Linked DNA regions of Drosophila melanogaster. The gene in region 2 interacts genetically with the main gene of each other region. Each region holds a gene or a part of one and is shown on either strand. Other genes may lie near its edges.

Region 1 (12,835 bases), on a different chromosome or scaffold from region 2:
AAAAAGACAGACAGTCGGTCAGTGACTCCCTCACAAAGAGCGACAGCCAAAGCACCAGGAGAAGAATTCGATTAAAAATAGCTAACAAAGAAATATATGTAATTCCTTGTGGCCAACGTTTTGATTGCGCAACGGAATTGATTGTATTATAATGCGAATATAACCCAAGAACTTTGGGTGATCAATCTTAAAGTGACCGGACTGCAGCCAGGGTATTAACAAAGAAATGCTGCAGTGCAGAGTTGGAGAGAACAAATAAATATGATAAATTTGCCACATGCAGTTAGACACATGCAATTTATCATGCGAGCGAGAGGGGAGAACGCTCCCCGTTGTTGCGGGTCAGAGCGTCTAATAGATTAAATAAATTTCGCATAAATTATGCAATTGTGGCAAGCCATAACTCTTTGCGAGCGCCCGAGGGGCTAGCCAGCTTAGCTTACGTTACGCACTTGGCCTCGGTTTCGTCTATTCCTTCATTCTAGCCATGTTTTCTCCTTTCAGCCATATTAATTTCCATGTGGAGCTGATCCTGTTCTGGCGCTTCTCAAGATGCGGCTCCGTTAGACCGGCCTGTCGGCTGCGTTTGAAACGCTCTCTACGCAGTTTTGCAGTTTGCATTTTGCATTTCGCATTCGGTAATTAAAAACCCAACGAGCCGCTTGGTGACTCCAACTTGGCTCTAACGGTAAGCGGGCTGCCCACCAGGATTAGCTACAGGTTTGCTTTCTTTGCAGTCCCCCAATCGCCTATCACTACTACTACAACTACTATCACCACCAGCACCAGTACTGCTCCGGATTTTGCCCCCCGGGCAGCTAAAAATTTACATAATATTTGCTCTAGATTCCATCTTGTCCCCCCGGGCGGCTTTCACACGCATAAACCACAAGTGAGGCCGAGATCGGAGGCATCTGCTCCATCTGCTGGCGGCTTATCAGGCCTCATAAATATGTTTGGCCATGCCTTTGGGCCTGAGACGCTTGACAATTTCTGCAAAAGCGTCTCTGTCTCCGTTTTTTTTTCAACTTTTTTGCGCACTTTTTGGTGAGAAATGGGAGCGGAAATTAATGACCGGAGTGCTGGAATCTTTGGCATGCCACTGTTGGCTGTGGCATCAGGTGCTTTTGCTCTGGAGCGTTTTGCGAAAGTGGTTGGCAGATTGAAGAGCGGCCAAAAGATAAGTAGTTGATCGGAGATCTCATGTCGAAAGTGGCTATTTTTATATTGGCCGAGACCTGTTTCGCAAAAGTTATAACGCACGGCATACCCAGTGTCAATGAATTAAAACTTTATTACCTAGACGCGAAAATATCAATTTGATGAGCGGATAAACAGATAAAAAACTTGTTGCTAATACAAACGATAGTCGTTCGTTCATTAAAAATAATAATTATTCAGACACGGACATAAATGCGTCAGTACATTAGGTAATCAACTTTGATGGCAAAGCTGGCTCCCAACTTTGTATTGTAGTAATGGTAAGTAACCATTAAAATTTAAATGCTTGATTGGATTGAAATAAAAAAAAAACGAATGTGTATATAAATATGCATGAGAAAAGACCATTGGAAATGAGTTTAAGGCAAGTCAAATTAAATGAGCTCAACACAATTTAATTTTAATTTTAGATATACAGAACCTTACGCTTTATAGGTTCGTAAAATTCCCGAGTTAAACTGTCTATTTGTTGGCGCTTTATTTAATTTTAGTATGCGAAGCAGACGTTAAAATGCCAGAAAGTGTGTTTGGCACTGTGAATCGTCGATACAGTTCTCGTATATATATGTATGTAGTATTGAACCTCGCTTTGGAGTGCCTTGATTTCAGTCACATGCCGCAGGCCTTTGTCTAGAGTTCCCATAAAATTATTCAGTTTCGCCTTCTTAGCAGTCATGTCCACATGCAAAACATGCAAATTTGCAGCAGTTGCAGTTGTTTCGCTCGGTTTTATGTGGCCATAGCCACTGCTGCTGCAGTTGCTGCATCTTGGCCTAATACAATTAGTCTTGTGTAATACGCATGCCTTATGTGCTGCGAGCGGTTAGCCGGAGGAGTGCCGAACCCGTTAGTGGTCGAGTACATATACAGTTATCGGTTGCACCATACCAATACCATACCGCCGCCGCCTCCCCTTCTCCACTTTACGCAATTCGCGCCACACGCCACACACATGTGTTGCGGAGTCGCCACCGATTGGATATATTGCCTTTGGGGAGCGTTGCGCGAATTGATTGTGGCCAAAACGGTGGCCGAAACGGCAGCAAAAGTTGAAAGCCTTTTAGGCCGACTCCCTCCAGCAGTTGGATTTTGTCAGATTTTGCGTTACTGCTGTTGCCACATGTTGCCAAAATGGTCAGTGCATAACGGTGCACTGCAACAACCAACTAAGCTAATTAATGCCAAAAACAACAGAAACTACAAAAACAAACAAAAAACAGAAAAGCCTCAATCCTGAAACAATCCCAAGCCCAATCCCAATCCCCCAGCCAATGCAAGTGAAGTTGTCTTTGTCTCATCGCCCCGACAATCCGATTATTATTCAATAAAATGCGCCGGCGAACAAAGAGATGGCCAGCACTTGATGACAAATGCCTGGGCGGCCTGGTCTGCTATCCAAAAACAAAAACAGAAACAAGAACAGCAACAAAGTAAAGAATAAAGGGCGCTCCGCGTACTTGTTGGCCAGGCCAACTAACCAACTTCAATGGGCTGCTCCCAGTTTGATCCTGGACTCTTGGCGGAGCCCTTAAAGCGAGCCGCCTCTATTCGATTTGCTCGTTTTGTTATCGCCAGCTTTTAATCTGCCCATTGCCGCGAAGGTCTTACCCAGATCCTCTGCTTCATCTTGGCCACGTTTGCCCCACAGTTTAGGCCGGGTTCGGGTTTTTTCTTTTCTTTCTTTTCCAACTAAGCCGAAACAGGCAATGCATGGAGGCATTGTTTCAAAGCCGACGACCTTAACCCCTCGTAACCTTGCTGGAATTTGCTATTAAGTAAGCGAATTGCTCACAAGTGTTGTAATTGAGTTGGTCAAAAGTGCAACATAAGTTTAGAAGTGTAGTAGATGTAGTGATGATAAATGTGGTAATAGTGAAGAAGATTAATAATCTCTTGAAGTTTCATTATTGATTTTGTTTGGATCCAAGACTTGCCTCCTAAAAACTGCTGACCTCTTTGGTCAACTTCACTATTTGATCGCCATAGATCATTAATCTTTATATAGAGCTTCCCATTTAAAGCCAGCCGGATTAGATAAACTTGTGGTCGAAATTTCACTGGGTCAACAGGCACACTGGGTGCCATTAATGGGTTAAAGAGTGTTCGGTGTGGCTGAGGGACAGGACAGGTTGGTGGGACTCAGACTCAGACTTAGATTCAGATTGCGGTTCAGGTTCAGGAGCATCAATGTAGCAGACACGAGTCTACAGCCGAAGCATCGAGGCTCGATTTTATTAGCTTAGCAAAAGGCTTTGATTGTTCTTGTTCTTGCCAATGCACTGCTGCTGTTATGGCCTGTTGCGCTTGTCTAGACGGGCAATTTTTCACACACACACAGTTGTTGTTGGCCGGGCCAAGACACACAGCACACCGCACTCAAGACACAAGACGCTGGAGCACAAGACACAGACATTGGGGAGCTGGACTTGCTCTAAAATTGGCATTTTTCGCACACATAAGGCAAAAATGTAAAGCGAAGTCAAGTCAGGAGACCGGGCCAAAGCCACATCTTCGGCCAAAGTCGAAGACCAAGTCGAAGCGGTTTATTTGCCTTGTGTGGCATCAGCTTCATCATCATCATCAGCAACGTGGTCGTCGTGGTCATCCAATGGACTCCAGCCTTAACTCTCCGTGCCCGTGCGCCCGCTGGCATAATGTGGCGCAGCCTGGACATGGTCATCCATAGACATGGAGTCCCGACTCTTAGCTCTTTGGCAATTTCTTTATTATTACGAGCGTTTCTGTGGTTGTCCTTTTAGGCCGGCTGTCACAGATCCGCTGATCATTATTGTTCCTCCGCACAGTACACATACTGGACTCCTCCGCCTGCCCACAATGCAATGTCAATGTTTTGTCTTAATGCGACAATGCTCGATCGAATGGCTGGCTGTCTGTCCTGTCTCGCATGTTATTTAAATGGCAAAGGCGGGTTTGGGGGACCTGCAGCCTGCCGGGTAAACAATTTATTATATTTATATGGCCAGTTCATATGTTCGTTCTGGCCATAAATTAAGCGATCTTCGACTTAATGTGTCGGCTGCACAAGGTCGCGTGTGCTTTTTTATTGTATATACCCCTAATCCAGTCAGGCAGTCAGCAATTAAGCGAGTTAATCGCAGTTCGATGATTTGTCAGCTACCCCATAGAGGGTGGTATATGATGATTGGAGGATGACTGCCCGGTTGGCTAATCGCCGGGAAGGTCAGTACCTCGGTTTCATCAGTATGTGCACTCGAGTGCGAAGTTCTCCACTCCAGTGATGACATCATTCGGTGGCAGTTGCTCGAAACTATAGAGGTCAAGAAAATCATGTGAGATCAAGCAAATATCTGTAATCACTTCTGACTGAATCCATCTATCTTTTTTGTGAAGCCCAGACTGCATCACACCAAGTATCTTAGATATTTTAAATATGAATATAAATTAATATTCTTTTAGTATTTATATATTAAATAAACCACTTTCAATGAATACCACTAATTGCTTACTATTGTTGCTAACAATTCAAATCTCAGCTCAAAAAAGACAATGGAACACACTATGTATTTTTTTTTTTGGGTCTGAGTCAGACTTTTACTTTCCCTAGTGCAGACAAACAAAAGTTTCGCTTTAGTTAAGACAGCCACGCCCACTCAGCAGCGCCCACTAAAACCGCTTACCCCTTATCATCCAGCGCCACTGCTGTGCAAGTTGGCAAGTTATAATTTAGCTTTCAGCTTTGGCTGCCGAAGAACGCTGAGGAGCTGAAACTCGGACTCTCGGTCTCGCTTGGTTTGTCCGTAAATTACAGCCTCGTCTGCACCGTTTCTATATATGTACATATATATATATTTATTTGTTTGTTTGTAGCCCGCGAGAGAGATGTTTTCGTATCGGCCTTATGTATTTTTAGGCTGCATCTTAATTCCCGGGACCAGTTCGCCTACACAAGTCGTCGATTGTCGCCCGTTTTGGCTGTATTTCGCCTTTAATTCTTCATTTTTTCTCGCGTAATATTTTTTTGCAGTTAATTCTCCTTTCTGATTGCCTTTTAATAAGACAACCCCAGCCGATTCTTGACCAGTTGAGTGTGGGCTTTATTATGAGTACTGCCCCTTTTTTTCGCTTTGTTTAAGTATTTTTCTCGTCGATATTATCTTGTTGGCTGGACTGTGCTTTGTTTTTTATTTCTTTGTAATATCTTATTTTTTTTTGTTTTGGCGTGTCATGTTGCCTTCCCAGCACTTGTGTTTGTGTAGGTGTCTTGTTTGGTCTTTTGTTTTTTCGCCGCGCTCGCTTGATAGTTTGTTTAGTCGTTTGTTGTCTTGGCTGTTAAAGGCAACTTGCAGGGGCAGGCAAGTTAATGACTAATGTGTTAGGGCTTTCGAGGGATATATGCCTTATACAATTTAGCATTAATATATGGCAGGAAGCGTAAGAACGAGTGAGTGAATCATGACAGGGCCGCGCTGCCAAACTTCATTAAGTCGCCGCAAGTTCGTTGCCTCAGTCATTCGTTTTTTTACCAAAAAAAAAGCTCCAGCACGCCCCCGACAAAACCGAAGATCGTTTTATTCGACCATCACTCCAAATGGCCACAAATTGTGTGTGTATGTGCACTTCACGACCAAAAACGAGGTCACTTTGTCGGTTTTTCAACAAAATCGAAAAGAAAAAATAAATACTTATTGTGTTTCATTACGCGAATGACATCATGGCAGCGCTATGGGAGCTTCTCAAGCTTTTTAGCCTTGCACTCCCCGATCTTAACTCTGATATTTATATTTAAATTTTTGCGTATAGTATATAGATAGAAAAAGTGCTTACCTTTGGCCTGGGCTAATCCGCAGAATAGGGCCGCCAGCCACAGAGAGCGCCACATTTGCATTGAGAGCAGCATTTTCCAAAATTTCCGGATCTAATTGGTCGGGGTAGAAACGGAAAGACAAACGGCATATTATTACAAGCATTTCGAACGAACCGAAGCCGAAGCAACGGCACATGCTCCACAAGCGGGCCAACATTTTATTTGTTATTTGTATTCTTGGCCTGGCCTTTTTGACGTTTTCACAGACACAATTCATATATGTAGGTACCATAACATATATATGTACCGCATCGCAAACACACACAGCGAGTTATTATGAAACAAAGCCAGAAGAGAATGCCCGTCAAGTGGCTTGCGGCGACCGCTCAACAAATCAAAAACCAATGACAACGGCAAATAAAAAACGAAACGAGCCGCGAACCACACACATATCACACAAATTCACACAAAACTCGGAGCGGGTCTTACTTGACGGCTGCAATATGGGGAAAACTCGGAACTCGAGACTCGAAACCACACCGAAGAGCACACCACACGTCCAAGCTGTTCGCTAGTCGCCAGGCAACTGAGGCTCAGCTCGGCTGCAACTTCATTACCTCGGGAATCGAGAGCCGGCGTATAGAGATGCTGACTCAGTTTCAGAGCAGAAGTCGTTCTTATATGGCAGAGAGTGCAAAACTATAGTGAAAGCACTCAATGTTAACCAATTGGTTAATTACCCAAAAGAAATGTAATAAGTACGTATGTATATAAGAAGATAAGTGTGCCGTTTTATCCGAATTATTGCAACATAAATCTATATGCATTTTTATTATATTATGCTTTCATTGGTAAAAAAAAAAATCCTTAGAAAATATTTTAAGAATTTTGAATAAGATAGTGTTGAATAATTATTTAACAAACGGAGTTTTCAAAAGTTAGCTATAAACTAGCTAGTGAACCAACGCTCTTAGGCATTAGAGCGTGGACAGTGGGGAAAAATGCTAAGGCGCCATCTAGCCCCTGGCTGTTCACAGTGCATAAATAAAGCCGGCAATTACGAAAGTGCTACATTACAATTTATGGATATACTTGAATACATTTAGATAAGCAGAGCACAATTAAAATGACCCACTGTAAGTCGCTCTCTCGCACGGAGCATCTCTGTCGCACGGCGAAAAAGAGAGCGACTTTAGCAAGTTAGCTTAACCGAGAGGCTGTAAAATACGGTAAAAGGATCGCTCTCACTACCGCTCTTTTCCGCTCTCTGCCGGAGATAACAATCAGCCGGTAAGTTTGTATAATTTTTTTTTTTGTCCCATGACAAAAACTGAGAAATTGTGGGAGCAAAATCTTACAAGCAATTATGCAATCTCGTCTCCGGCTTTTTTGTTGCGTTTGCTGTTGTTGTTTTTGTTGCACTCGCTATTGTTGTCAAAACAAACATTTATGTAATTGCGCTCGCTGTCAGCACGAACTGCCGGTTCGTTCTCAACGGCCACAGATGAGAACAGGGAAGTAATAGTTTAAAATGAGCTAAATGCAGCAGCTGTTATGGATATTTTCCCTATATATTTCGCTATATGTACTAACGGTACACTTACACTTCCGCCAAAACTAAAACCGTTCTTCAGCTGGTCATCTACTGCATTTTCCAGAGCCCAAGGCGCAGCCCGTGAACCCAATTTCACACCTCTTGATTTCGCGCGTGCTTGGGCATTATTCATGATTCTCCTACTTGTTAGTTTTCCAAACCAATGGCCATCCCATCATTAAACGGATTAGAAACATTTATTTGTGCATACTTACTGGCCATACACTACTGGCCCTCTTGAAAAACGGTAAATGACGTGCAAAATAAAGGCAACCAGCCGAGCGCACTAATTTAATTTGCTAAATTCAACTCAAAATGCCTTATTATTACTTTGTTGCACCAGTTGTACGGGAATATTTAGCTCAAGCATCGGCCAATATTAAGTTAAGCACAAATTGTAATAATTAAACACTTGCCACTTGCAAAAGAAATTAACCAAGTTCCCCGTTCCTCTTTGCACACAATTTGCCGATCTGGCAAGTCTGTGACGAAGCGAAAGAGGAATGGGGAAGAACCGCAACAGCTGTCATCTCGCTCACACCTAACGGATTGCGGATTTCCGAGAAAAGCGCAACTGGATTTTTATAATTTTACGATTTCACAGATTTAAATGTTGAAACATTGGACATTTAAAGGCCGGGAAGTGTGCAATATAGCTAAGATATAAATACACTGACACACGACCCGCCCTGCAAATGTTTATGTTTTCGCAAACACTTTTTTTTCACTTTTCGATGTTAATTCTTGATATTTTCAGGCCGGTGAATGTGCAATATATTCGACAAATGAAATATTAACCCATATACCGTCCGAAAAATGATCTAGAAATTTCGATTTTTCACCGTCTTGCCGCCTATTGCAAGGAGTTTAAAAACACAACAAAACTAATTACTTTGCTCATAAAATGATTCGTTTTAAAGTAATCAGGCCGTCTCAAGTGCAATACTAGTTAAAAAATGCAGAATTGCCCTTGTGACGAACCAAATCGCTTCAAACTTAATTCACATTTCTAATAATTTAAAAATGCTAATTGTTAGTATAAGGCAGTTGCTAACATTTTCGGGCTGTGAAAAGTGCAATACTCAATGTTAAAAAAACAGTACTGCCCCCATCCGCAGCAGAAAATTGTTGGCTAGAACGATGTCGGGTAATACGTTTCAAACGACCACTCGCGACGACTCTCGGAATTTGAATGCCGGGGGCAAAGAACGCAAAGAAGATCCCGAAAAGGAAAAATCACAAAACGGGACACAATGGAATGCAGAGGTTTAGAGCGGGATGACAGTATGAACTTCGAACTCTCAAAACATCCAAAGTTTTTGCTCTACTCTACAACTTTCGGGAGAGAGAATATTCAAAATGGCGGCAACGCGAGGAAATCGAAGGAATTCGCGAGATACACATTTTTTTTTAACACTTAAATATGTATGTACATATTTTAATGAATCGTTAGCTTAGCTCGTGAACTTTTATAATAGCAAACAGAATACCATATTTTTTTGCCCTTCGATTTACTATTTTGAGTTGATGAGTGATGAAATATCACATTTTTGTGTTTTTTTTTTCAATCTGTGCACTTTGGTGTAAGTTTTCTGAAAATAAGTAAGACGGGAATGCCAGTTTTGTAAAAAACACAAAAATAAGCATAACAGCCTTTACTATTTTAAGGAGATTATGGCAAATGTGAAAAAAATATCACATTTTGAATTTGTACACTTCGGTGTTAGTTTTCTAAAAATAGGTAAAAGACGGTTATGCCAATTTTGTAAAACAAACAAAAACAAGCATAAATATCACATTTTGTCTTTTCTAAAAATAATTAAAATTGGGTTTTCTAATTTTTTAAAACACTCAAATATAAGCATAACAGACTTTTTCCTATTTTGAGATTATGGCAAATTTGCTTAAATATCACATATTTGTCTTTTTTTTTTTGATTCCGTACACTTAGGTGTTAGTTTTCTAAAAATATATTAAGTATGTTACACAGATTTTGTAAAACACCTAAAATATGCAAAACGGACCTAAATAATTTTAGAAAAAACCAAGTTGAGTGGCGATTTCTAATGCAAAACCAAAACTTTCCAAACTACAACTTTAATAGGACGTTAAAATATGTATTAATAGGTGTAGTTGGGAAAAGCCTGAAACTGCAGTGATAGTTTTGATATCCTACGCAGGTAACTTTCTCGAAGTACTTAGTACCAGAAACGTGTACTTTACATAAACATAAAAAATAACACTTTGCTGATACCAGGCACTTGGGAAAATCATGTCTAGATTTGTCAACATTTTAAATGGCTTACCAAGAGATGTAAGCTCCTTCTCCGTCGACGGTCAAATCGAAAAGAACGGACTGCTGAATTCCATTGAACTCGAAATCTTTGTGACAGTGCTAGAAGATGACCTTTGAAATCAAGTGGGAATGGGCCGCACTCAAACTCACATATGCAATAAGTGTGTTTCTTTGTGTGTGCGAAAGCGCTCAATTTCAATAATACACACATCACATAACCTCACTTTAAAGAGTCAATGTCCTTATTGCCTTAAAATATAACTGAAAATCTGTATAATGAGTGCAGTCTCACAAGGGAAATTAAAACGAATCTTTTAAAAAACATCTTTAAATGTATATTATTAGTTACTTTTTGAGGAAGATCTAGCAAAAATTCGGTTCTTTTTTACACTAATACCATTCCTTTGATTTATACTACGCAATCAAGTATGTATGTATGGGAGTGTGTAAGCACACAGCGATTCTAAGAAATCACTCAAAAAACACATGCATACATACATAAGTTTACACATGTTTAGCTAAAAACTTCGTACTATTTATCGTATTCTTTATAGAGATAACTTGAAATGTATGTATATACATTCAATTTTAAAAGATTTTTTGTCGCCAATACAAACAATTGCTCGTTAATATTATGAGCTTATTGCAATGATACGAATTTAAATAAATTGTGAATGTCAATGACAAATGCATGTGTACATACATATGTATGTACATTAATGAATATGCAGATTAGTTTGTATGAATTTCCATTTTAAGACCCCCCACTCAAATCATTAAGCTCATAGCGTAGTATTTTATTTATTTATTGCATTTAAGTTTGTCAGAAGTCGTTCAATGCTTCGCCTAGTTTAATAAGTTCTGTCTTAACTTTCTCGTACTGCGACAATTGCTGCTCCATTTGGACAGTCAATTTCAGGCGCTTGTCATGGACATGTTGGAGTCGCTCGCGATTGGCATTGCTCTTGGCCATAGCAATCTGTAATTGAAATATAAACAAATGTTAGTTATACTGATAGAATAACAAACCTAGATATGTACATATGTATATGCAAATGATAAACTATAGAAATGAAATTATTAAACTAAAAATCTTCTCGAAGGTTCTTTAACTTTAGGGATCTTTTGGTACACTCAAAACAGTGCAGTAATAGTACAAAGATTAACTAATATCCAAATCGCACCTCAAGTTCTTTTGCCTGAGAGGCCAGTTGCTGCTCCATGAATTCCACGCTGAAGTCCAAAAATCGCATGCGCAGCGGCCGAGTGAGTTTATCGGGTGCTGCAGTGTTCACGTTCCTATAGATTACAATAGAGTAGAGTAGAGTTAGCAATGCAATCGAATCGTATTATGTTTTATGCTGCACATGTACCATTTCTTGCCCTCGTAGGCAGCGAAATGTTCCTTGAGCATTTCCAAAGTTTGCAACTTATTTGGCACATCGTTGCTGGCGAAAAAGCATCGGTTCATTTCGAGCACAACCTTGGTCATCAGACTGCGAGTGCGATCTACGATGCTTTCGGTGTCCAGAGCGGATTGCTCGTGCTCCTGGTAAATGGCATCCCACGCTTGCAGATCTGCGCAGCTAGATATTAACGATTTTTAATATTCGTTATCATGTTAACTATGCCTGCTGCTTACCTCAAGTCGGCAAAGATTTGTTTAATGGCTTCCTCGTAGGCCTGTTTCACCTTTGGTCCCACACCCTCGTGGCGTTTAAATGCGGCTTCCGAATCCTCCATTGAAATAATTTGTTAGTAAATTCAAATTGTAAACAAAACAAAACAATGCCACATTGGTGTGACCAGTTGCAAGTTTCTGCAAAACACCAGGCCGATAGAAATTATAGAGTATGGTGACAACCCTGTTATTGGTTTTTTTTTGAGGTATTTCCACTAGCTCTTATTACTCATAAGTCCCTTGTAACATAAGTGATGTTGAAAATATAAATATATTTCATTCAGCGGTATGGTGAGAATATGTGCCTTTTACATTACAATGTCAAACAAAATGAATAAATACCACCGAACAGTATTTTTAAGAATAAGTGTTAAACCACCGTTTTCAACCATCATATATCGATAGTCCAGGTATCGATGACAGGGTGATACGCCATTTTCCAATTCCTCTCTAACTTTTGTGCATTTTAACTCAGCTCTAGTGTGTTTGTGCTATACATATTTTGAATAATATTTTACCAGCCAGTGTTTAGTGGCGGACAAAATCGTGTTGAATACCAATTGAAAGTTAAGTGATTAAGTTCGGTGGCATCAAAGTCTTCGTAGCTGAAGGAAAACAAAGGCATCCCGATAGGTGAGTTTTTCTTCTACAGTTTTTTTTTATCTTTTGCCTGGGGAAACGCGAATGAAAAGCGAATTTGCGAGGCAAATAAACCAGGCTAAAAGCAATGTGTGTGTGTGTTGTGTGGTCTTGTGTTTTCCTGAATACATTTCTAAGAAAAAGATTCGCCAATACATGCCGATTTTTTATAGCAATATAGTGTGATTTTTAACTACACCCCCAAAATCGTTCTTTTGGCTTCGGCGCTTGAGTTTTACAGTTTTTCTTCCTTTCATTTTATTACAACCACCAGGGCACACAGAAATATTCCTAGCTCTCTCTCGCTCTGCCGCCCTGTTCTCTCTGCCTCTCTCGCTTGCTCGCACGCATGCCGGCTTTTACTTAAAGTACAGAGTCGCATAGTTGTTGTTTTTATAATTGGCCCATCGCTTTAGTCGCTTGTTTTGTTTTTCACATTTGCTGTTTTTTCTTTTCTTTTCGTTTCGTTGCTTCCCTTTTTCTTTTATCTCCACGCGGTTACACCGGTGCATAAATTTCATTATAATTCGCTGAGATAAAATCAAAACAAAATAGTTTCGTTGTTCCGAAAGCAAAACTCCCACGCTACAAGACGAGTTCAACGCTCGTTGGCTTTTT
Region 2 (13,056 bases):
GTTATTCAATAAATTTGAGAAAATGGCATTTTCCTCATTGAGAGGAGAGATTTTCCAACAGTTTTGTGCCCCTCGCCGCGTTTGAACAATAGCGGATAAGTATCAGAAATGCAACACAAATGGGGTAAACATATTGTTATATGCGCCGATTACTTAATGGCTTGTTCGCGGCAATGGCAATGCGGTAAACAAAGATTTTGCAGCAAGACTTGCTCATTAGGAAATCAATAAATGTTACAAAAATAGCAGCCAGCTCTTTGGCTACGAATTATAAATTAGAATTGTAATTACAAGTGCAATACAAAAGGAATCTAAAAAGGTAAATGCGCCACAGGCAGCCGCTTGATGATGCAAAAATCGCTCATACTGATGCTATAGCTCGATAGTGCCACTCGGTTTTATAAATTATTTTTTTTTTACGATTGATTTCAGAACTGCCAAGAACTGGAAATGGTTTTTGGCTGTCCAATTAATTTTGATCTTAATTGATTAAAAGTGAGGAATAATCTATCGCTTAGCCGGCGCTTATCAAAATGACATCTTGTCAGCACTTTTGACAGGCTCAAGACTGCCACACTTGTGCACCAGGCGTTTCTGGAGAAGATTTGATCTTCTGAGCACCAAATATAGCAGCCGGCTCTTTGGTTACGAATTGTAAATTAGAAGTGCAATCACAAGTGCAATACAAAAGTTATCTAAAATGGGAAAATCGACTTGATGATGCAAACATCGCTCATACGCCGTGTTGAACGTCGAAAGACTTCGATGGCATAGCTCGATAGTGCCATTTGGTTTGACAAATTACTTTTTTTTTGAGAGGTTCGATTTTAAAACTGCCAAGAACTGGAAATGGTTTTTGGGTGTCCGATTAATATTGAGTGGGTGTGTTCTGTCAGCTTAATTGATTGAAAGTGAGGAATAATCCATGGCTTGGCCGACGTTTATCAAAATGACGTCTTGTCAGCACTTTTGACAGGTTCAAGACTCGCGCACTTGTGCAACCGACCGTTCTGGAGGGGATTCGATCCCCCGGCCACCCTCCCTATGACAAGAAAGGGACGTCGATGGCAACAGCCACATCTGCATGCCGCGACTGTCAATCTTAATGACACGACACACTTGTTCTGCACTATCGCCACCCTCTGCTCATCCACATCCCCATCCATCCTGCGACACATATGTTATGGTGTTGACGATAGACGCCACATGATGAGCTGTTTACTCACGCTTGGAAGGTTCCGCGGGTCCTGCTCCCCGCTCCTTGAAACTGTGGCCCATGCCAGATGCATGGCTGCATCTTGTTGACAATTAATTTGGCTTTAGCGCTGTTATCGATATCGCCTTGCGCATTATAAGCCATGGATGGATACAGAAAAATCCACTTAGGAATCGAATAAAGCGCGCTCGTGTTGATTTTCTCTATTCCCGCGGAGAAAAGTTGAGGAAAGGCAAAAAAAAAAAACAAATTTTCTTCGAGGTTCTGATCTCCTTGAATTCTCCTGTAAACTCGTATAACATTATGTACTATTATTATTATTCTTCGGCAGGGATTGTAATTTAAAGACGTTGAATTTAGTCTGTTTATATCGAAGTGGGAACTATTTCATGAGTCTGGTAGTCTTTTATTTGAAGCAAAACCAGTTTTGAGAATAATACTTTCGTATATTCATGAAAACCAAACATAGAGCCAACATAATTTTTGTGAATTATTTAGATGATTTTAGCAAAACCCTTTAGATGAGAATTGCTATCTTGTAATTCGAATTCCCCTAATCAGCCGTATCTCTCTTGTAATGCATTTTCGGCGATATCTGGCATACGCCCTGCTGGCCACGCGAAGTGAATTAATTGAACAATACAGAAACTGTATTGGGGAGACGCATCAAGTTTATTACTCCGGCGATAAACATAAAGAGCGTAACACTGGAAGCGATTATACTCATAGGTCTCCTCCGCCCCTTTAATTCCACCTAAGCGATAAGCCAAGATGGACTGAGGGCTGTAGGTGGTATGTGGGGTGTGTGGTAGGTGGTTGAAGGTGGGAAGGTCTGCTTGAGAAAGTGGGCGGCCTCGGGAGATGTGTGCTGCCAGCTTATCTAGAGTGGCCACAAAGTCATCGCGATAGCAGCGCCCAAATCTGTTGGCACAATACATCAATGGCTGGGATGCCCGGAAGACGTCATGGAAAACTCGCAATTTGCACCTCGGAAATGTGAGAATTGCTCAAGTAAATAAATCAGGCAACGTATTAATGAATTTCAGATATTCAGATATAGAAATATTGTGCACGCATATATGTAGATGGGCATATTATTGGGGCTTTTGTAGGCCAAAGTACGAGCAGAAAACGTTTCGATTTCTGGCTGGATCCATATTTTTTGTTTTGGTTCTGGTTCGCTTCATGCTAGCCAAGGTATTTTTGCTGTGGTTTGTTTATTTGCCGGGTACTTGAAATGTTTTCAGAACTGAGTAGACTACGACTGAAGTGCGCTGCAAGGATTATGCCATGGCGAACAGAAAGCAGATCCCCGAGTATGACACTGTGTAGCAGATTGAGATACTCCACGATTACGGACGCCACTTTGGCCTATCACTAATCCCGACAGCCAACTTATGGCATCATTTATGACCTTTCGACCACTTAAAGTGCGTTCCATGCCGCTTGGATGTCCGATTGTTGGGCAAGGTCGAATGTTCAGCGTCACTAGGCCATCAAACGGCTAGCCGATAAGGATGAAGCACTAAAACTAAAAGTTGTAATATGGTATCTGATAGTATCACGTTCGTTTTATCGAACTCATAGTTTTAAATAACTTGAGCTCATTTCACTGCACGTTAGCCGTTTGATTTGATTCTGTACCCATTTTATGTGCACTATATTTGAATGCTATGTAAATCCACTGTACAATCCCCGTTTGCCGTTCACTGATTATGCAAACTGCTGGGCACTCGGACCCGCTTACGTCATGGACTCCGATTGGGGGGCTTCAGAACTCACCTGGTCGACCGCCTCTCCTTGAAGTTCGCCGATAGAAGGACGCTTGAGGTTGCGCATGGAAATGCGGTAGTTGTCCAGGCGCGGCAGACTCTCCCTGCAATCAAATGGAAGAGAAGGTATCCGATTAGAGCAAGTCACTTTCTAGTGCCAAGGCTAGTATCCCTACTGGTGGAACGGAAGCAGCACTATCACCGCCTCGGGCAGCATGACCGTCGCCTGCAGCGTTCCGAGCAGAAATACCCACTCCGGCGGATTCCAAGTGTAAGAAGCAAGTTATTTCTGTGTGTACGCATTAATAATAAGACAATAAAATCGGCCAGCCGAGTGGTAAAGGTAGCCGGGCAGAAGGTCAGGGGCTCCGCGCCGAAATCGAGAAAAATCAAGTTTTATCGGAAAATTCTTCTGTTCGGGAAGAGAGAGTCTGCCCTGATGTATATTTACTGATCGCCAACGAAAACAGAAGCAAAAGCAACAACATTACCAGCAGCTAAAGCCAAAGCAATGCCAAAATATAATTTAAAATCTTAAAAAGGAAAAACAGAATGAGGAAGGCAATAATCGACGAGCACAGTGCGGCGCCACGAGCGTCCAGAGGCGTCGATTCCAATGAATCCAAAGGGGTAAGACGCACGGTGCACGGGGCATGGTGCATGGTGCATGAATGACAGTCCATTGAAACTAAAAGTATGGCGTTCAACGAAACGATCGCCTTACTCATTACTCTGACTAATTCCAAAAATATTGCAATTAAAATTTTCACGAGGAAAGTGCACTGAAATATGTGGGCTTACTGTTGAAAAGACCATGGTACACTTCATTTTATCTAGAATAATGCCTCTGTTTGAAGTGACATATTGTAATCGGTAAATTTGCTGATTACCCACTAACCCAGTTCATCAAGACGTCTTGATGCCTTGAAAATCCTGATTAAGATGGAAAGTCTGAATATTCTCTAGAGATACACTAGCACCTCTGATAAATTACAATAAAGTGTAATCCTCACTTTCTTATTCTATGTATTCGATCCCCATTGCTTTTAGATCGCCGCTCGGCTTGTGAATAACTTATGAGTGTTTATTAATTGTAGACAGAATCTGTGGAGGGCGTTTTTCATTGTGCTACTAAATAAATTGCAAGCATTCAGCAAAGAGAATCGGACGTCTTGTGGCTTTTCCTTCGATTCCATTTCCATTTTCACTTCCAATTCATTTGCCAGACGACGGAGATACAGATACATTCGGCTAAGATACACATACATTCCTCACGACTATGTTTATGTACTATAGCATGTAAATATTCTCTAGATGCTCGTTCATGACGTATATGGGGGTCCAGTCCAGGCCATCGAGGGGCATTGATTGCTGGCCGGTTTCGTTGGGAATCAGCTGGTCCGAGTTAGTTCAACACAATTGGAGCCGGGCAGAGTTCGATCAATTGAACTCATTTGCGATCGCACTCTCCGAACGACAGTCGTAAATTTATTTGTTGACACGCTCATCCTTTTGGAGAAAGCCATCTGAGCTGCGAGCTCCGGAACTCGCGGAATGCAAGTGATCGCTAGCTCCGATGGCGATCCTTGTGCCAAAAACGGCTAATATACCCGACGTGCTCAGAATTTAGATAAGTTATTATATTATTTTTTGGCGGGCTGATGATGTAACTTGCTTGCCGTGTGCAAATTTTCCGGGAAAACAAATCATTGGCTGTCATTCTTAATCCGGAGGTCTCCCAATTTTCGGACAGATCTTTGGCAGCTTTTTATTGCATTTAATTTGAGCACGAGATTGCGTATTATCGAAAGTGGAACAATTGCAGCAATTAATTCGGGGGCTTTCGACGGGGTCTGGGTCGAAATCGTTAATTTGGGCCAACAGCCAACTGTCATGTGGCAAATTTGAATAATCAGAAGTGGAAAAAATTCGAATTAATCCAGAAGCAAGTTAATTTGGAAGTGATCTGTGACCTTTTTTTGAAAGTGCTTCATGTCGGAATGTTCGTCATGTACTTGAAATCATTCACATGAACTGTATGTTTTCAAACGGGTATTTATATTTGCCATTCCTATTTAATCACACAATTAGCTTTTAATAGCAAGTGAAACATATTAGGTGAACCTACCCTAATATTCTACAATCATGTATTTATATATACTAGTATAAACTGAGATTGAACCAAGTGAAAGTGGAGTGCATCAATCGGACATTAAGTGCATCCAACTTCGGACAATGTTGCTCTTGTTGAGCCTTTCGTTCTGTCATTATTTTGGGTTTATGTGCCAAACGTGATTACAATAAATTGGCATAATGTAACCTTCGTTTCGGTTATGCAAACGGAATGTTTTCGTTTCGCTTTTCATTCACATATCACACAATTTTGACGTGTTTTATTGTCTGTTTTAAGGCCCAGTACAATGGCATTTATTTATTGTGCACTGCAAACAGACTGAGTTTAAACATGTGTTCGCACCTCAATTGAAACTCATTACGGAGAGTAAAATTAATGATTAATTTGCTTTGGGAAAACTCTAATTAATTGTTGTATTATTCCTAAATTGTTTCAGACGCGAGTGTAGACACCACGTGCGCACTAATGGATGGAAATAATGTATCTCAAGCTCCTAAAAGGTATCAGCTGAATCGCAACACTTTTATCTTGAGAGTAAATCCCCTCAATCGAAGCAATTATCAAAAATCCAACAACTTGTAAAATCGGATGTTGAAAATGAAAATTTATTTTCAACACGCTAACCGCTGAGAAAACAGAAGAGATTGTGTCTTTTATATTTTCTCTTAATTTACATCTTAAACAAAACTTCCATCAGATGTCGACTATAAGATCAAAGCGTAAAAATGTTTTTTTAATTCAAGTTCTATTATTATTTTAGGTAAAAACACGAAGATGAGAACCTGTAAGTAAAATATAATGTGAAATACAAATTAATTGAGCTACAAAATTCCCCAAAATATGAATAGTTGTAAAACCATTGCATACTATGACATAGGGTTTCCATTCCTTTAGCGAAAAATCCTAACTGGATAAATCGTTGATAATATCAATATTCAAATTCAAAAACAATATTATTAACGACGAGAGTCCAACCGAAGAATATATATATATATATATTTTCCGATAACTTCAATTAACAACAAAATACCATTGATTAGAAACGACGTTCCGGTTTTTCCACCTGTGCCGACACATTTTTAAAGCAAATCGCTCGCATTTTAGCCGGGAATGCGTTAAATTCAAATTAAACTTACTTTGTTAGCTGGGCGAGACTAAACTTGCGCTCGGCGTCCGATTTGCGCAGGAAGTTACCGAATCCGCGGAAGGAGAGCCGGGAGCTGCGGCGGTTCTCGCCCGTCTCCCCCGAAGCCTTGGGATGCAGGTGGTTTTCGTTGCTGGTGGGCGGAAGTGGGTGGGCTGCGTCCGTCTGGTCGGATTCAGCTGATCTAGCCTCGCCATCGTAGCCGGCGTTCGCGGTGCCGTTCACCTTTGAGATCTGGAAGCGATCGGCCATGGTGTGGCTCTGGGGAGTCCTGCACTTGGTTGCTCAGTGGACCCTGGACACAGATTCTTATCGATTGCACGGGCACCTTGACGCTAGCTAACGAGCCGAGCACATTTGCATTTCACACACTTGGCAGGATGAGAGCGCCCCACTGGGAGTGGATGATATCACAAGGAGCGCGAATCGAAGGACCGAGTTTACACGTCCGACTGCGCTTGACCCTCAACGACGATTGTCCGGATATTCAGAACGCATCGACCACGTCGGCTTGTTTTGGGTGTTTCGGGTTCGGTTTCGGATTTGAATTCGGGTTCGTTTTTATATATGTTTCTGAATCTCACGGGAAACACTCCGATGATTTCTCCGTGGCGGCTGGGCAATTGCAACTTATCGCGCCGACTGTCGCACGGCGTTTGAGCGTTGTCAAGTGTTTACCGCCCGATTATTATGGCTTTTTGCGCCAGTCAGCTGCTCCTCTGCTTCCGCTGTGCTGTGGATTTGGCAGCGGCTGCTTCAGTTCGAACCAACTTGGCGCCCGCGTGGTGAGTTTCCAACAAGTGTTCGGGGCGAACTCACCACAAGAGCGCTCTCTGTGCGGAGCGACGAGGAAAGCAGCGCGATTCGGGAAAGAACCGTTGGCCAGGAGGTCCGACGGCGGGATACCCGCTCTTTAGAGGGTCTAGCGGGCGTATACGTAATGTTGCAACGCATACACAGAAAGTAGTTCGAGGTGCAGAGTACAGGGGAAAGAAAAATTCTTTGTTATGATAGTTAATTGGTTAATTTTACGTAAAGAATTTTATAATATGAAAATACTATGCGTTCTGTTCAAAGTTCCTTAAAATTTTAATCTTCATTTTAGAGCTTACACAAAATATTCATGGTAAAATTTTGAAACTTTAGAAATTTTAACCAACTAATACTTATCGGATTATTACAACATTTTTTCGTTCTGGAAAAGGACTTTACACTGAGAATATTTTTTGTTTATTTTGGGTAAAAAACAAAACAAATTTTATAGAAATATTTTATATTTATTTTTCATAAATATTTCAAACCTTAACAACTTTTCAAATTTATAAGCGTACTTGATAAGTAGTAGAATCAAAGATTTTGCTCTATATTAACATTTTTGTTGTCGACAACGCAAACGAGATTAGCGAATCCAATCTTATTATTATCGTTCCATTTCAGATGACTGTCATTTAGCCACACAGTTTAAACGCAGAGATGATTGTGTGTTGATATTCAATCAAACTGACATTTTATATATTTTGTTTTTCCCCAAATATTAAAGTTGTTATTGTTTATCTTTGTTTCGTTTTATTCAAAGGCAAAAAGGCCTTAACAAATAAAACTAAAATATGCATATTTCCCACTCATTCATATTCGTTTAACTTCTGTTGAATAAAACGTGATGTGCTCTGTGGGTCACAGCTGAAGACGAACCTAAACTAGCGTCGAAGGAGCTGCGTTTCTGTGGTCCTAAATAAAAACATTATCACTTGCTACAACACCATTTTGTCGCTTTGATTCGGGTAAGAGTTTAGCACCTTGGCACCTTGGTTCGTGGATACGATTCGTTTGCGATTGCGGCAATTAGCTCGTTTCGTTTGTTTACCGAATTCATTCCATACTCGCGACTCTCCACACTCATTCACAATCGTTCGCGCACTAAAACTTAGACACTCGTAACATCTTTACTATCAGCCAAGTCAAGTTAAGTTAAGCCCGACAGCAACCACAATAAGGGGGCAAGAGCACGCGAATAACCCCCTTAATCGAATTAAATTCGGTTTTATCTGGTTTGATTGGCCGGCTGCTTGGCTGGATGGTTGGATAGCTGGTTGACTGGTTGGTTGGTGGGACTGCTTTTTGCTTTTTGCTCTGCGTCACCGAGGGGGATTTCACGAAGAGCCGATCGTGGCGAAAAGAGTTATTTTTACCAAACCCAGTGAAGGTTCCCTCCCCCGAACCATCCCCCAAAGTCGGAGGAACGACGTTCTTTTGTTCCCTCCAGTGCTAAATCTCATTCTTGGAGTTTTCACTTTGGTTCATGAATGACATTTTGCAAATTTTGGATAGATGGCCAATCGAACTTTCAAAGTAATATATCAAAATATCAATAATAAACAAAATTATTAAATTGAATATTAATTATATCATATTTACAGCTGGCCGGTTTCGGTAATTCGGAACATCTAATCGTCTAAATTATACGCCCAATTTCGCGACTCATTGTTTTTCAATTCTACTGGTTAACCCCAAAGTGTTAAACATTTTTGAATAAATTATTTCAAACTTTAACACGGTATAAACTAACACTTTGATCATCACAATAGCTAAGCACAAGCTAATTAGTTGATTACCCTTTATGGCTGCTTTGATATCACTTTTATTTTTGCTAATATTACGCAAGTGATTTACGATTTCCTAATTATCAAAATTTGTTTATTACTTTGTCAGCCATCACAGCCGCAATTCGTTGAATATATTTTTCAGCGAAACTGATTTTTATTCCTTTGGGATACATTTTTCACACGTCTTCCAAATTCGATTGCCCCGTTTATAAAAGTTTATTATTCGTATCGATGTTACTTTGCGGTAGAGAATTTGTTTACCGATGCCAATGATATAAATTAATTTCTTTTTATTGCTTGCACTTTACTTGTTGTCGCATAAAAATGCTGCTGATTGTATGCGAAGATTCTGGAACAAATAAAAAAATATTAAAAACATCCGATTAATCGGCAAATATCTTGGAATCACACGATCGTCAAAGTCATAGTTTATTTTTACAGTCATATAAGCAAGATGTTTATCTAACAATCTCTCAAAATCTATCCTGTAAACTTTTCCTTCTATTTGGGGGATCTTGCTGGAATGAGATTTTATTTGTTTATATTTACGGATATAAAACTGTAATTGGCTATTAGTCTTGTGTTTTTACATCCGTTACTCGTAGGTTAACAGGGTATGCTGTATTTATCAAATCTATTTTTCTTGTCCATATGCACCAAGGAATGCCTAGAATATAAAGAAATTTAAATTTTTTTAATATATAGCTATCAAACTATGTTTAACTAGAGAACTTTCTACTTTTCTACTTTCTACTAAAACTTCGTTTATGCCATGAGGTTTGAGGATTTCTTCAATGTATAAAATAAAATTATATCCCTGTTTATGCGACACAGTCAAAATTTATTTCAGTGATGGCTAGAAAAAGGTACTATTAGATAGGATTAGTACTCTTCATGATACCAATTTCGTGAAATTTCATCGCATAAGCCCAGATTATAATTGTTTAATGGAAGTGTTAAGTCGTGTGCGAATGAAAAGCTTTTAGGGAATATTTAAAATAAACTTATACTGCGGTGTCACTAGAACTTGTGTGCTCTTTTTTTTTTTTTTTACTTCATCAGACCATGACGCTTACACGGACAGTCGACGGACGGAAAGACATGCTTTTAAAGAAATTTATATGCCTTTTCTCTATAAGTAACAGGTAAAAATATGATATGAAAATTTGTATAAAGGGTACTGGATAGTCGAAACACTCTGCTGCAGCGCTATTGCTGTGCTGGCAAACAAAAGGGCCAATTAAACGCAAATTGCCATCAAATTCTTTTCGTCGTTTAGTAACTATGGCTTGGGTAACTATTGTTTGTTTTTTAATTCAATTTTCGAACGAAAATATTATTATTGTCGCTTTCTTCACTGCGTACGTATATTTGTACATATGTTCTATCATACTCAGAATTTTTTAGTGAAAATTTACTTTTAGACTATGGTCATGTGTGACATCTACCCTTAACCAGTTACAAGCGGCTTTGGTTAACCCTCAACTGCACTCATTAACACCTCGCCAGTTCGCTTGTATTTGGACTACGGACGAATTCTGTCTAATTGATCGAACACACATCGCGAAGCACAGATAAATTGATTGTTTTACAGCTAAAATTAAATATTTAAGACTTGACAAGCGTGTTGTATAACAATATTGCGCTGCTAATTAATTCCAACCTAATGGGGGCCATACATATAACCGATTACATCGGAAGGCGATAACGTCTCTTGGGCTCTTATTAAGGGGAAGACACAAGACAAGACGACCATGCGCTATCGCAATGGCCAGAGACATTATTTGACACTCGATTAATAATTGAATTAACTGCTTTATACCACTTTGAAAAGGTTTCGCTCGGACCGAATGAAGGAAGTTTCGATCAGAGCGGCAATAATCTAGATTTGATCGCAAGTTACCGGGTTTTCAAATACCTGTCCTTGGCGTCAATTGGTTTAGATCGCCTTACACTGCCAAACTTAACGGTTTGATAAACCGACTCGTGTTGCGGTGTTAAGTGTGCTGATCATTAGATATTATACATATATCAGTCTACATAATGTCACCATTTATCTGAACCAAATTCTAGTTGGGATCAAAGAATTTATGTGCTTTTTTATTTAAATATTGCCTATTTATTGCGGCATTGCGCGTTTAAAGTAGTGACGAAGCGCACGCTGACATAGAAATTATTATTAGTCGAATTATTGGTTTTTCCTGAAGTGTACAGTTCCGTATAAAATACGGAAATATATATAAATGATAATATGATGGTTAGATAGAATAAAGCTGAATAAAATTATGATCGTGAACTCACTTCCAATTCAAAAATTGAGCTGGTATACAAGTCTACCGAAAATATAAATTAAGGGCTGTCATTCGCGACAAATGTTTTTTGTTACAGATGTATTTCCAGGCTGTTAACCGGTCACTACTCCTCGGAGCCCCCATTTAATGTAGTGCATAACTGCAGTTATGGCGTCGATTTGGGGGTTTCTCTCGATCTCCCGATCCCTGGAGCGTGGTCATCATCACCACTTATTCGACTCCGTCAAGGCAAGGCAATTTTAAGAGGCAGAACCGAACCGCTTCGTGGCAGTAACAACTTGTTCTGCGCCAGCCAGTCTCATTGTATCCCACAGTTCGTCTGGAGTCCCGGCGATCGAGCCAAGTTTTTGCAATCGGGTGCCGCCTTAAGTGCGACAATTGATGATAGATACACAGAAAGATACTTAGATACACATCCGATCTCGGATGGCAAGTCATGTGCAATCAAAATTTCAGTTGTGATAATTGCAATAATTTATTCATTAAGCTCGATATTAGGCAAGATTCCATTGGTGGAGCGGCATCAATTTATCATTTCGTAAGGCGGTCACTTTCCAAAATGCCAGGAAGAAGCTGCCCCAAATTCTCTTTGTTCGTTTATCCGCTCTTGAATGCAGGTAAATAAAATCCTGCGAAAAAGGGTCATCTCCATAATGAAACTCGGCGTGATTACTAAATTATTCAAGCTGGCATCTTAAAAGTCAATATTTATACTGATTGTATGGCCTGAATTGTGCTGAATTGTGGGGTACTTCATATACATATATGTATGTAAGTAAAGGCATCAGGGGTCATTAAATATCCATTAAAACGATTATTAATCAAAGTAATAAAATAAACTTTAACTAACTTACAAAACTATTTAATAGTGCCTTTCAAGTCCGTAAGAGTTATTAGGCTATTTAAACATCTTACTCTTACTTACATCAAATGGAAAGTCTTTTAGTTTGGTAATCACAAGTAGAGTAGACTTTATTCACGATCGTGAACGTAGGAATTTTGCAAATACGAAGAATATGGCCAAAAAACCGAATAGAACCAGTAAAATTGGGTTTCGCTCGGAACTGGTTTGCTTACATCCACGTGGTTTGGAAACAAGATTATTAATTTATAATATCTTTATCAGTTAATCATTGTAAAAAAAGCTGATGAATTGAATGAAGACATTTAAACATGATATTAGGCTTCATGTGAAGTAGATAAAATTTCATAACGGATAATACTGTCATTTCCAAGATAAAATGGTTAATTGAAAAGGCGATCTTGCCAATTGAAAGCTATCTTATCAGCCAATTAGGTCTTACATTTAGTGTGTGTTTACCTGGTAATCACACGGCCCAAAAAACTTATAAACGATTTACGGAGTGTTATTGTGTGCACTTCGTAAACTTTTCTACACCCACAAAAAAATATGAGAACTAAAAAAAAACGAGATCGGTTGTGCCCAGCGTACTCAGTGTCATCAATCATACTCATGAGAATAAATCTCAATCTCAGAGCAAAGCAGGATCGGGTTTCAGATTGTGAAATAATAAAGCGAGGGGAAGGCTGAAAAAATGATAGAGAGAGAGAGAGAGCGAAAAATGAGAGTAAAGACAATTGCAAACTGAGAGTGCTTCGATCTCGATCTAAATTTGCTGAGCATGATTCGATTTTGGCTAGATTTTGAGATCGAAATTCTCAAATCGAGATCGTGAGAACGGTTATTTCCCAGAGGATATGGCTTTGGAAAAGAAGGTAAACAATGTTTAAGGAAGTTTTTAGAAGGTAATTTTTTAATAATAATTAATAAAGAGTGCAGACAGGCGCACGCACAACGCCCAGATCCAAAACGAATTAAAGGCTCCATCACTATTATAATTTTCTTTTAAACTA

What was found.
Region 1: of NKCC (region 2) and qsm, changing one suppresses a phenotype caused by changing the other (phenotypic suppression), as found in Drosophila melanogaster (one study listed by BioGRID).

The regions. Positions count from the first base shown.
Region 1 is NT_033778.4:20,575,534-20,588,368, forward strand, and holds the start of qsm (quasimodo), read right to left. Parts: upstream 8,059-12,835; 5' UTR 7,817-8,058; intron 6,600-7,816; exon of another isoform or gene 6,497-6,599; intron 6,119-6,496; 5' UTR 6,101-6,118; coding exon 6,028-6,100; intron 1-6,027. Other genes in the region: Nnf1a, read right to left, coding at 10,721-10,876, 11,082-11,196, 11,271-11,483, 11,540-11,640.
Region 2 is NT_033777.3:5,495,779-5,508,834, forward strand, and holds the start of NKCC (sodium potassium chloride cotransporter), read right to left. Parts: upstream 6,925-13,056; 5' UTR 6,519-6,924; coding exon 6,259-6,518; intron 3,237-6,258; exon of another isoform or gene 3,206-3,236; coding exon of another isoform or gene 3,165-3,205; intron 3,093-3,164; coding exon 2,999-3,092; intron 1-2,998.